Linked DNA regions of Ovis aries. The protein of the gene in region 1 interacts with the protein of each later gene in a biochemical or structural test. Links are inferred from orthologs where the notes say so. Each region holds a gene or a part of one and is shown on either strand. Other genes may lie near its edges.

Region 1 (2,643 bases):
CAAACCAATAAAGTTTCCGTTAAGGTCTTGAGGAAAATGGTAAACAAGAAAAAAAAAAAAAAACCAACTATTAATAGCAAAACAATTTCTGACAGCTGCTAGGAAGAAAATAAAATAGTGAGGGACCAGAGGCAGGAAGGAGAGACACAACTTCCCGAAGGTGTCTGAGAGGTGACGTTTGAGACCAGACTAAAATGACTAGTGCCTTCCGGTGACTTGACGCCGAAATATTCCGAGAAAAGAGAATTAAAAGCAAAAATGATCCACAAACCAAGAAATAACAGGAATTTCACAGCGCCAAAGTGAGCGGCGCAAACCAGAACCTATGAATTCCGGAGCGGCGGGAGAGTTTGAATATTCATGTCCAATCAGGGAAAGGCTGAGACCAGGCAGCGCGGGCTCAGTATGAAGTATCCCGAACCGCTGGTGTCCACAGGAAGCCACATCGCAAGGGCCTAATTCGTGATCCGGCACCCACGCAGCTGCCAAACTCGCAATTCTTCAGGGCTGTGATGCAGTGTTCGAAAGACCCGGGCTTGGTCGTGTCCTGGGGTCCTTTCTTAAATGTGGATAGCTGAAATCACTCACTTCGTTTTGGAACACCGGTGACACGTACCCAACAGAGCCACCAGGACACAAGTCTAGGAGCAGTCTCAGTATCCTAATTTAGAACTGACTCATACGAAAGCTAAGCAGCAGTGAGGGTTAAGACGCGCCCTAGATTCAAAAGCAAAGCCAGTCACGCGCCAGGAATCTCAAGTCATAAGGGCTTAAAAAGCTACGTGTGTCATCTTCTATTACTTTTAGCCAACTAGAGTAACTTACTTTGTGAGGAACTGAGGAGAAACAAGTGAACAAGGCTCTTTTCTGGTGATTAGGTGGGTGGCTCTGAAAAGAGCCTTTGGAAAATCAAGCGGCTTTGCGACTCGTGCGAGCGCCGCGTCCCAGCAGGGACTCACTTGGAGCTGGTGTACTTGGTGACCGCCTTGGTGCCCTCGGACACGGCATGCTTGGCCAGCTCGCCAGGCAGCAGCAGGCGCACGGCCGTCTGGATCTCCCGAGACGTGATGGTTGAGCGCTTGTTGTAATGCGCCAAGCGCGACGCTTCGCCCGCGATGCGCTCGAAGATGTCGTTGACAAATGAGTTCATGATGCCCATGGCCTTGGACGAAATACCGGTGTCTGGGTGCACCTGCTTCAGCACCTTGTACACGTAGATGGAATAGCTCTCCTTGCGGCTGCGCTTGCGCTTCTTGCCGTCTTTCTTTTGGGCTTTGGTGACGGCTTTCTTGGAGCCCTTCTTGGGCGCGGGAGCGGATTTTGCCGGCTCAGGCATTGTGAAGCAACGCCGTTTGGCAAAAAAAGAGGTATGAGAATGGGCGGGCCTGATCCATTTATAACCACCGTATGCAAATTAAGGCTCCAAAAGTCTTACATTCCCATTGGTCCGTGGAGAGACCTTACGTTATCAGTAATAGCTACAGAATAACACCGACTCTTAACCTTATTGGCTGTTTCAGGAGCCAATTTGGGACCAATGAAAAGCTCGTTCCTGACCCCACCCCTCAGAAAACTTATAAAGGCTTTCCAATTGCTGATCTTTCTTAAACATTTGCCGAGGGGCTTTGATCTTTAAGGGTACTACTGTTATCTTTAGTCATGTCTGGTCGCGGAAAGCAGGGAGGCAAGGCCCGGGCGAAGGCCAAGTCGCGTTCGTCCCGTGCAGGCTTGCAGTTCCCGGTAGGGCGAGTGCATCGCCTGCTGCGCAAAGGCAACTACGCTGAGCGGGTGGGGGCCGGCGCGCCCGTCTACATGGCGGCGGTTCTGGAGTATCTGACGGCCGAGATCCTGGAGCTTGCCGGCAACGCGGCGCGAGACAACAAAAAGACGCGCATCATTCCTCGTCACCTGCAGCTGGCCATCCGCAACGACGAAGAGCTGAACAAGCTGTTAGGCAAGGTTACCATCGCGCAAGGCGGCGTTTTGCCCAACATCCAGGCCGTTTTATTACCAAAGAAAACCGAAAGCCATAAAGCCAAAAGCAAATAAAGCCTTACAAAGTAAACCAAAGAACAAAGGCTCTTTTTAGAGCCACCCAAGTTTTCAAAAAAAGAGCTAATGCGCTATTTTGTGATCAGCCCTTTATTTTGACACTTTGGTGGTGGCTCTTAAAAGAGCCTTTGGGGTGAGTGGGGATGGTATCAAGCCTCTTAATTACTTATTCTTGCCAGGCTTGTGACTCTCCGTTTTTTTGGGCAATAAGACTGCCTGGATATTGGGTAAGACACCGCCCTGGGCAATAGTGACACCCCCGAGTAACTTGTTGAGCTCTTCATCATTTCTCACGGCCAGTTGCAAATGGCGAGGGATGATGCGCGTCTTCTTGTTGTCTCGGGCGGCGTTGCCCGCCAGCTCCAGGATTTCCGCGGTCAGGTACTCCAGCACTGCCGCCAAGTACACCGGTGCGCCGGCCCCCACCCTTTCGGCGTAGTTCCCTTTGCGCAGCAGGCGGTGCACTCGCCCTACAGGGAACTGAAGGCCAGCGCGGGATGAGCGCGACTTGGCCTTGGCCCGAGCTTTGCCTCCCTGCTTTCCGCGGCCTGACATTACTGCTAAAACTGCAGTTACAGCTTCTTTTTCAAG
Region 2 (4,142 bases), about 67 Mb from region 1:
CTAGCAGATACAGTGCTTATTCTTAGTGAATTCATCAACCAACAGTGGAGGCAGACAAGTGAATGAACAGCTACAATAACGGCAGTGATCCAAGGGAGAATAATCCATAAGGCCAACATCTAATTTCTTGAGAAACCATAAATTATTTGAGAGAAATGGCATTTGTCTTTCACAGTTCCCAACTACATGATGTGTAGAGGGTAAGCACTCAGTAAAGAGTCAAGAGGCCTAGATTCTGGTCCCAGCTGTCTTTGACCAGCTATCTTTCCTTTCCATTAGTTATTTCAGTTTTCAGAGCCTGTTTCCTCATCTGTAGAACTCATCTGTAGATAATATCAGTCCGGATTAATTCACTGTGCAATTGTGAAAATTAGTGGTCATGAGAATGATATTTTAATTAATTGTAAAGATCTCTACAAAGTAAAATATGTAATCATAAGTTATACCCTTAATTTTTTTGATAAAACAGATGTTCAGCACTTCAATAAGTACTGAATAATTCCTTAAAAAAGAAAAAAAGGAAACGAAAGAAAACCAGCAGGTAAGGATCACTGTTGCCACCTTCACAGTTCAAAGCAGGTCTAATCTGATATTTTCAGCACTCTAGATAAAAATATTAGCTCTTCCCTGGTGGCTCAGACGGTAAAGATCCCCTGGAGGAGGACAGGGCAACCCACTCCAGTATTCTTGCCTGGAGAATTCTCATGGACTGTAGCCCACCAGGCTGTGTCCATGGGGTCGCAAAGAGTGGGACATAACTGAGGGACTAAGCAGCAGCAGATTATTATTATTATCCCCATTTTACAAATCAGAGGAGTGAGGCGCCAAAGAATTTATGCAAGAGCACAGTCTCTTCAAAACCCAAGCCTGCGCTGCTTGCCAAGGCTTTTGTTGAAGCTTAGTCTTTAAGATGTGCATGACTATTTCGGGATTTCTCAGCAAGAATACCGAAGTGGGTTGCCAGTTCCTACTCCAGAGGATCCAATGTAGGGATCGAACTGGCCTATCGCAACCGGATTCTTTAGCACTGAGCTGCTCCTCAACAAAACCCCAGAACCCCAGAACTCCTTAGCATCTTTTCTCCGAAACCCCGCTTCCCCAGCCTGGAAAGAACTGGCAGAGCCGTCGACTCCGCCCCATGACGTACATGGCCCCGCCTTCAGGCCCTCCACTTCTCGCGGGATCTCTCGGGAGGACGGCTGGGGTCAGGTCCCATCATGGCGGCTGAAGAGGCAGATGTGGATATCGAAGGGGACCTAGTGCCAGCGGCGGCACAGTCTGGGTGAGCAGTTGAGACTGGGCTTGCAGAGACGAGGAGGGGCACGGCAGTGAGGAGGTACCCTCTAAAGGCCGCGGTTCCGGCAAGGGCCGGGGGAGTGGAAAACTATCCCCTGGGCCAGGGTCTCCTGCCGGCCTGAGAGGCGCGCCTCGCCCATCCCGTCTGTGGGCTCCTCCTGAGCTCAGAGGGCGGGTACCGTAGACTAGCGTGGGACAGCCCATTTACCGGGATCCTGTGAGGGCGCTGACCGCGCCTAGCACATTGCATACTCTTAAGCAATTAGATTGCTTCTTCCCTTACTGCCACTCCAGAACCCGCCTCCTTGCCACCGCCCAAAAAATAATTAGAACAGGGGCGGTCCCTGGACAGAACCCAACTTAGGAATTCTTGTTCCCTCGCTTGCAGGCCGTGTGACCTTGGGCGTGTCGTTTTATCCCTACTAGCCTCTGGTTTCCTCTTCCACGTAGGGGTAGTTATGAAAAACTTCCCGACATGCAGCGTGATCTAAAAGAAAGGGGTGGGACTTAAGAGTTTGACAGCTGTGTATTGACCCAGCTAGATGGCACCCCACTCCGGTACTCTTGCCTGGAAAATCCCAGGGACGGAGGAGCCTGGTAGGCTGCAGCCCATGGGGTCGCGAAGAGTCGGACACGACTGAGCGACTTCCCTTTCACTTTTCACGTTCATACACTGGAGAAGGAAATGGCAACCCACTCCAGTGTTCTTGCCTGGAGAATCCCAGGGACGGGGGAGCCTGGTGGACTGCCGTCTGTGGGGTCACACAGAGTCGGACACGACTGAAGTGACTTAGCAGCAGCAGCAGTTACTAGCAGTGTGACTTTGGGCCTCAGACAACTCGTGTGTAAGCTGACTGTCATGTTATGTGCTTCGTACGGTTACTGTGAAGATCAAATGAAATGATTTGGGGATGTGCTCTAGTATAAGAGAGGTGCTCTGTAAGTGTTGTGTTCTTTACCTTCCCACCACGGATAGTATTTTGAGGACCCAGTGAGAGGTCACCATTTAGTACCAGTTCCTGCAGAGCAGGCCAGTGTGACTTTTAAAAAGCAGCCTCCAGCTTGAGATATCTAGCTGTTTGACTCCTTGCTTGCAGAGAAAGAAATTGATACATGCGGTTTTAAAGATGTGCTTTCAGAATTCTCTTTTAGTAATAGAAGAGGCTTAGACTGGTCAGGATCAGAAGACCTCAGTTCTCAACTCAGCCAGCTGTGTTGCTTATAACTATGAACAAGTTCATTAGAAGTCTCTACATTAAGCCAGGTAAAATTGTGAGGCTTAGACCATTTTTGACCTATAGAATAGCAATTTCACATGATCCAGCCTAATAATAGCACCTTTGTAAATTGTGAAGAAGAGTACCAACCCCTGTCCATGAGGGACTGAAACAGAGCCGTTTAAAGTTTTCCTGAACTTAAAACACTATAAAAATGAGAAGTAACTAAGTCTCCTTCAGCTGTTTAGACAAAACAGTACAAGTCTCTACAAATGAACAGAAAGCCTTTGATAACAGTCTTTCACATTTGTGTAGATCAAGTTAATCTTGACCGAGTGCTTTTGCATGCGTGGTTTGATTTACTTTCCACAATAAGTGTATGAAATAGGTGTGAGGGATTCTTATCTGAAGTTCAAGGCAGATGAGCTGCCCTTGGAAACACTAAAGATTATCTGAGAGCACTGACTCTTCCCCTTTTTCCATGGGTTTTTCTTTATTTTTATGATCGTGTTTTATTTCTCTTTTTCTTTTTTCTTTCCTTTTCTTATTGTTCTGTTTGAGCCCAAAGTCTGCTGATGGCACTTACAGTCACATTAGTCTCATGAAACCAGTAACTGGTTGTTGGTTCCTGATGGTCATCGTCATTGTCTCACACAATTCTGTAGAGCATCATGAACATTACAGTCTAGTGACAGTTGTTCCCTAGTGTTGGTACTCTAATCATGTGGAATTTGGTGTGAGTAAACACTTAGATGCCCCTCTGAATTTTTCAGTTATAGCTGATCATGACATCTTGAGGGTTAATTGAAAACACACTTTTAAGTCCTTGCTAAGTGCTGGTTACCAAGGTTAGAAGATGCATTGAAGTGTTTTGTTTCCCTTCTACCATTCTTTCTTATCCTCTGTTTCTTCTACTTGTTCTTTAAATCATAGTATTTCCAAGGAATTTTTGTCATAAGACTTCTTATTAACCATACAGTCCATCTCTCAAGGCTTAAATTTCTGTTTAAGTTGGACCATATGAAATTTTCCCAATGTTCTACCAATTTTGACCCACACAAATGACATTTAATCTTAAATTCCATCTAATAACAGGCTGATATTGCCCAAATCTGTCACCAACTCAAATCTCTCTCATGATCTTCAGATCCATTTATCCATTTTCCTGAATCTATTTGCCCTTGGGTGAGCCACAAGCTCCTCAATCTCACTTTATAGAAACTTTCCTTACCCAACCTGCCTCTTCAAGTTCCCTAGTTCAATAAATGGCACCATCCACCCACTCATGCAGGGAAGAGACCTAGATTTTAACCTTCTTCCTTACCTCTCTCCTATTAGAGAGTCTGTAGATTCTGAGTATCCTCTCAGATGTGTTCACTTCTTCCTGTTCACATTGCTTGTGCTTTAGGTCTAAGTTACTGTCACTTCTCTCTAGTATCTATGTAATCACTCCCTCTTAACTGCTTCTTGTCTCTTTGACCCTCTTCTAGTCTTTTCTGAAGTTAGAGTAGTCTTTTCTTACATCCAGATCTGATGATGGTACTCCCAACTCCCTAGAGACCTGTGTGATCCATACCCCACCTACCTGTTCATTCAGTCATTCAACAAATATTGATTAGCATTTATATG
Region 3 (4,236 bases), on another chromosome or scaffold:
TATCCACTTCTTAAATCATCCACTGAAACAAATAATCGAACGTGTGCAGCATAAGATGTAGACAGACTCAAGAAGTGTTAGGGGAATCATATAGACTTGCACAACCGGGAGCTGGTGATGGACAGGGAAGCCTGGTATGCTGCAGTCCACGGGGTAGCAAAGAGTCGGACGCAACTGAGCGACTGAACTGAACATACTTGCAGAATCAACTCTACCAAAGGAAAGAGAAAACTAGAACATAGGGCCAGTCACTTTTCTATCCTAAACTTAAAAGTACTGGAGTGCTTAAATACTTCTGAGAGGCATTCTAGTAAAGAATAGATGGGGTCACAAAAGTCCTTCCTCCTCATACAAATAAGAAAAGCCAGTGTGTAAATACAGTGTGGGAAAATGACACCAGTGCTTATTAGTAATTTTAGACGGATGTGATCCCAACCAATTACCAGCTACAGAGGTCTAAAGGCTGCAATAATTATTTATTATTTGCTTATTCTCTCTAAAGTTTATTTTAACCTGAGAAAACTTTATTCATTTTAATTTGTGACAAAGGCTGGGCTGGAGCTAAAGCTGGGAGAATACTAAAGCATTATGCTGTTTTAACCAAATACAGACAATAAACGCGTCACAAAGTAAGGGCAAATTATACTGCTTGAAAAATCCTGTATTTTAATACTAGCCTGAGTCTTCTTTAAGAAATTCTGTTGGCCTTCAGAGTAAATTTTTTCCCATCTTATTATTCAGAAATCCATTTAAAAGGAAACAAAGCAAAACTAAAGTGTAGCTCAGACTCTGATCTTTACAAACTCCAAGTCCAGAGTACTAAATTTTGATTGCATTTCCCTTAATTCCCCCCACTACATCTGACTGAGAATTTCACTGCACAAGGACTAGGAGCACTGGTCTCTAGCATTGCTTTTATAACTGCTCACTCAGGAAATCTCAACAAATTTGAGAAGCTCTCACTGAATAACTTGCACTTTTATTTAAAATTTTATTTCATATTGGAGTATAGTTGATTACCGATACTGTGTTAGTTTTAGGTGTATAGCAGCTTGCAATTTTAGAACTGGGAAAACAGAGTACATAGCCTGTACCACTAGGTCACAGGCAAAATTCGGCGGGAGGAAAAAAAAAATGTCAGGTAAATAACCGGACAGATATCAACATGGATACTGAAAGGACGACATGGATAGGGAACAGCTGTTATCATTTTACTATTCACTTTAAGCACAGCTTTCGGTTGTTTTTTTTTTCAAATCTCTCGATAAATGAAAGGCAGACGGGGAAAATCCTTGGGTTGTTGCAATATTAAGCAGAAAGTAAATGAAAATGGAACTAAGCAAGCTGGTTTAAAAACAAAAATGCATCATTCAACAACGTGTTTCTTGAAACTTTTCAACTCTACTCCTGACATTTACTTCCCCTGTGACTCTAGTGTCCTCATCAATTCGCCCAAAATAACTCACTAACCAACAGCCCCATAGTGCCCTACTACAATTTTGTTCCTAACATTCAGTTTGTGCTCAAAGGTCACTTCCTCCCTATTAATAGTTTTTTAAAATCGGAAGCACGAAAGGTGGGGCCTAAGCTGTTTTGGTCCATTCATAATCATTCTGGGCAATCTGTTCTAATGGGTGTTCCCTGTCCTTCTGGAGGAAAGATATCATCGAGTTTTATTAATTGTTTTATAACTCTGCTCCTTATATGAGCATATTCAGATTACAGGTTCAGTACAAGACTGGTTTTGAATGCTTTAAGTTTGGGGCATTAACTGCTCTCACCATGCTGTGGCCACATTATTAGCTTCCATTTACTGACAGCCGCTCTCTCAAAGTTATATAACGTTTGTTCCCCGTCCAACTACCCCCAACTCCTAAACGAATTATTGTTTTAATCTCCCAGTCTCAACGACCACTTTCTCACACTCCATAAATGTGTCAAGACACTAACTCTTCGCACATTCAGTAACGTCGACTGACCAAACCAGGGCAAAAACACACTGAAAAGGAGGGGTAAAGACGGAGAACAGTGTCGCTGGCATCTTTGGATGCCAAGAACGGTCCCAGAAACAAAGTAAAGGCGGCAGGTTTCAAATGGGGAGGCAAGGCTCCGCTTATTTCCGGAAAACGATTCAGGAAGACAAAGTATCCAAAAACCCAGGAAGCAGAGTTGGCACAGAGGGCAAAGGCCCTGTGCTGGGGGACTTACTGGGACTGTGGGGAAAAGGAGGAATAATGGAAGAGCGGAAGGAACGCGAGGGTGGCTGGTGCACCCAGCAGCGCTGCCGGCTACTTGTAGATAAAGAGGGAAGGAGAGGGGCAGGATCTGGGGCCTCCTCGGGCCAGGGAAAGTCCTACCCTACACGGCGAGGCCCCGCGAGCCGGGTCGTCACCCCAAGTCAGGGCCCGCCACTCGGGGATTCCCAGGAGTCGGTTCCTCCCGCAGGGCGCGGCCTGCCACGGCCGGACATCCGAGACCCGGTCCAGGCACTCACCCCCGCGGTCTCCTCAGCTGAACATTCCAGCAAACTCCTGTCGAGGGCCTGCACCTCAGGCTCCAGCTCCGACGCCATCTTCCCTCCTTCGCCTCCCCAGCGCTGACGCCGCTACTGCCGCCCCGAGGGCAGCGGCCTCGCCACGGCCCGGGGGGGAGGTGGGGCGCAAAGCCACCACCCTGCCTGGGGCGGTCGGTCTTGAGCAGGAGTTCAGGTGGCTGCGGGTGGAGAAGAGGAAGAGTAGCGCGAGGTGAGCCGGGCAGAAGGGACAGCGTTTCCTGCGCTCCCTCCCGGGCTCTGCGCCCAAGAGTCAAGTCACCGCCTCGTCCCTGCCTCGGGGAAGGGCACAGAAAACATCGGACCTGGCACTCCTGCCCGTTTCTACAGCGTCCGGCACCGTGAAAGGGGCAATAACACCCCAAAGAGGAAGCAGAGCACTCTGGGAGTTGTAGTCGTCCTCCGCAAGGCCAGGGAAAAAGTGGAACCCTTACAAGGACATCCCCCCGGATGGCATTGTGGGAGTTGTAGTCCCTTCGTCTCCTTAGAGCTTGGAGAAATGGCAGATAAGCGGGCGGGGCTTTTCCGCACCGCTAGAATCGTGGGAAGAGACCACCTGGGAAGAGGCAGAAGCGCGAGATACTGTGTGGTACTGTAGTTTTATCCCTCAACACCGTTTGTTCATTTTTATATCCCAGAGCTTAGAACGGTGCCTGGCACGTGGTAGAACTCCAGTGCTTTTCAAAGCCTGGAGTGGGTACGAACTCAAATACTTGTCAAATGAATAAACATTCTTATAGTTACATTTCTATAGTGTTTATGGCCCTGTCATTCATCAACACTGGTAACGAAGGTGTACATCCCCCAGGATTTTGAAGGTTTTAAAAACATGTTAAACTGGTGTGAAAGGAAACGTTTCAAGTGATTTAGTTATGACCGCTTATTAAAATTTATTACACATCTTGTTGCAAAGGAGAAGGAGTCTACTGAGCCAATTCAAAGATTTACTCTTGATCGGGACGTTTTATAGAAATAGATAATCATTGTTAGGTTGGACACAAAAGGAAATTATGTTTCGGTAGAGGTAATTAGACTCTTGACTGACAGGTGCGTGGGTTTCTTAGAACAAGTCTTCAGTTCCTTTAGAGTTTATCAGAAAATTGCTTACACGTTGTATTAGGTATGAGCTTTATCCCACAAAGAAGCTGTGAATTACATTAGGCAAAAAATTCTGATGGAATCCAGGTTTAGGAATTTTTTTTTTTTTTTGCTGGGTGTTATTGTTGTTAACAAAACTATAATATTACCAAGTTTTTTCTTTTAAGGAAATAAAAATTACCCATAATCCCACAGTCCAAATAAGCCTTGTTATCGCTTTAAAAAATGAAACTAATATATATATAAGTTAGAACTTCAAACTCAATGGAAATATTTTTAAAGGGAAAAATGATAACTATGCCTCTTACCCAAAGTCCTTCTCCACAAAGAAAAACATTTTTAATACTTTCTTATGATTCTATCCAGAAAAAAAATAGTACGCATATATGCGTAAATACCTAGAATGAGAGATCTTGAAAGGGTCTTTTATATATATACAATGTTACCTTCTTCTTTGCCCAACCTCCTTGCCCTAATGGGCTCCCTAACCAGAGACAACCTGGAGGAAGCCTGGGATTGTTATAACCCAGAAGCAAAGATAATGCCTCTTTAAGAGTCCTAACGTAGAATTAAAGCCGTTAAAATGC

The links.
Region 2: of the proteins of histone H2A type 2-C (region 1) and MYSM1, one has a biochemical effect on the other in vitro, tested with the Homo sapiens proteins (2 studies listed by BioGRID). The link is inferred for Ovis aries from reciprocal best matches to the Homo sapiens genes H2AC20 and MYSM1.
Region 3: the proteins of histone H2A type 2-C (region 1) and UBR2 form a complex in vitro, tested with the Homo sapiens proteins (2 studies listed by BioGRID, with this or other methods). The link is inferred for Ovis aries from reciprocal best matches to the Homo sapiens genes H2AC20 and UBR2.

The regions. Positions count from the first base shown.
Region 1 is NC_056054.1:99,992,194-99,994,836, forward strand, and holds histone H2A type 2-C, read left to right. Parts: upstream 1-1,606; 5' UTR 1,607-1,659; coding exon 1,660-2,049; 3' UTR 2,050-2,099; downstream 2,100-2,643. Other genes in the region: histone H2B type 2-E, read right to left, coding at 956-1,336; histone H2A type 2-B, read right to left, coding at 2,215-2,607. UniProt on the Homo sapiens protein: Core component of nucleosome. Nucleosomes wrap and compact DNA into chromatin, limiting DNA accessibility to the cellular machineries which require DNA as a template.
Region 2 is NC_056054.1:33,411,319-33,415,460, reverse strand, and holds the start of MYSM1 (deubiquitinase MYSM1), read left to right. Parts: upstream 1-1,207; 5' UTR 1,208-1,217; coding exon 1,218-1,282; intron 1,283-4,142. UniProt on the Homo sapiens protein: Metalloprotease with deubiquitinase activity that plays important regulator roles in hematopoietic stem cell function, blood cell production and immune response.
Region 3 is NC_056073.1:16,292,649-16,296,884, reverse strand, and holds the start of UBR2 (E3 ubiquitin-protein ligase UBR2), read right to left. Parts: upstream 2,936-4,236; 5' UTR 2,857-2,935; exon of another isoform or gene 2,713-2,856; 5' UTR 2,573-2,712; coding exon 2,495-2,572; intron 1-2,494. UniProt on the Homo sapiens protein: E3 ubiquitin-protein ligase which is a component of the N-end rule pathway.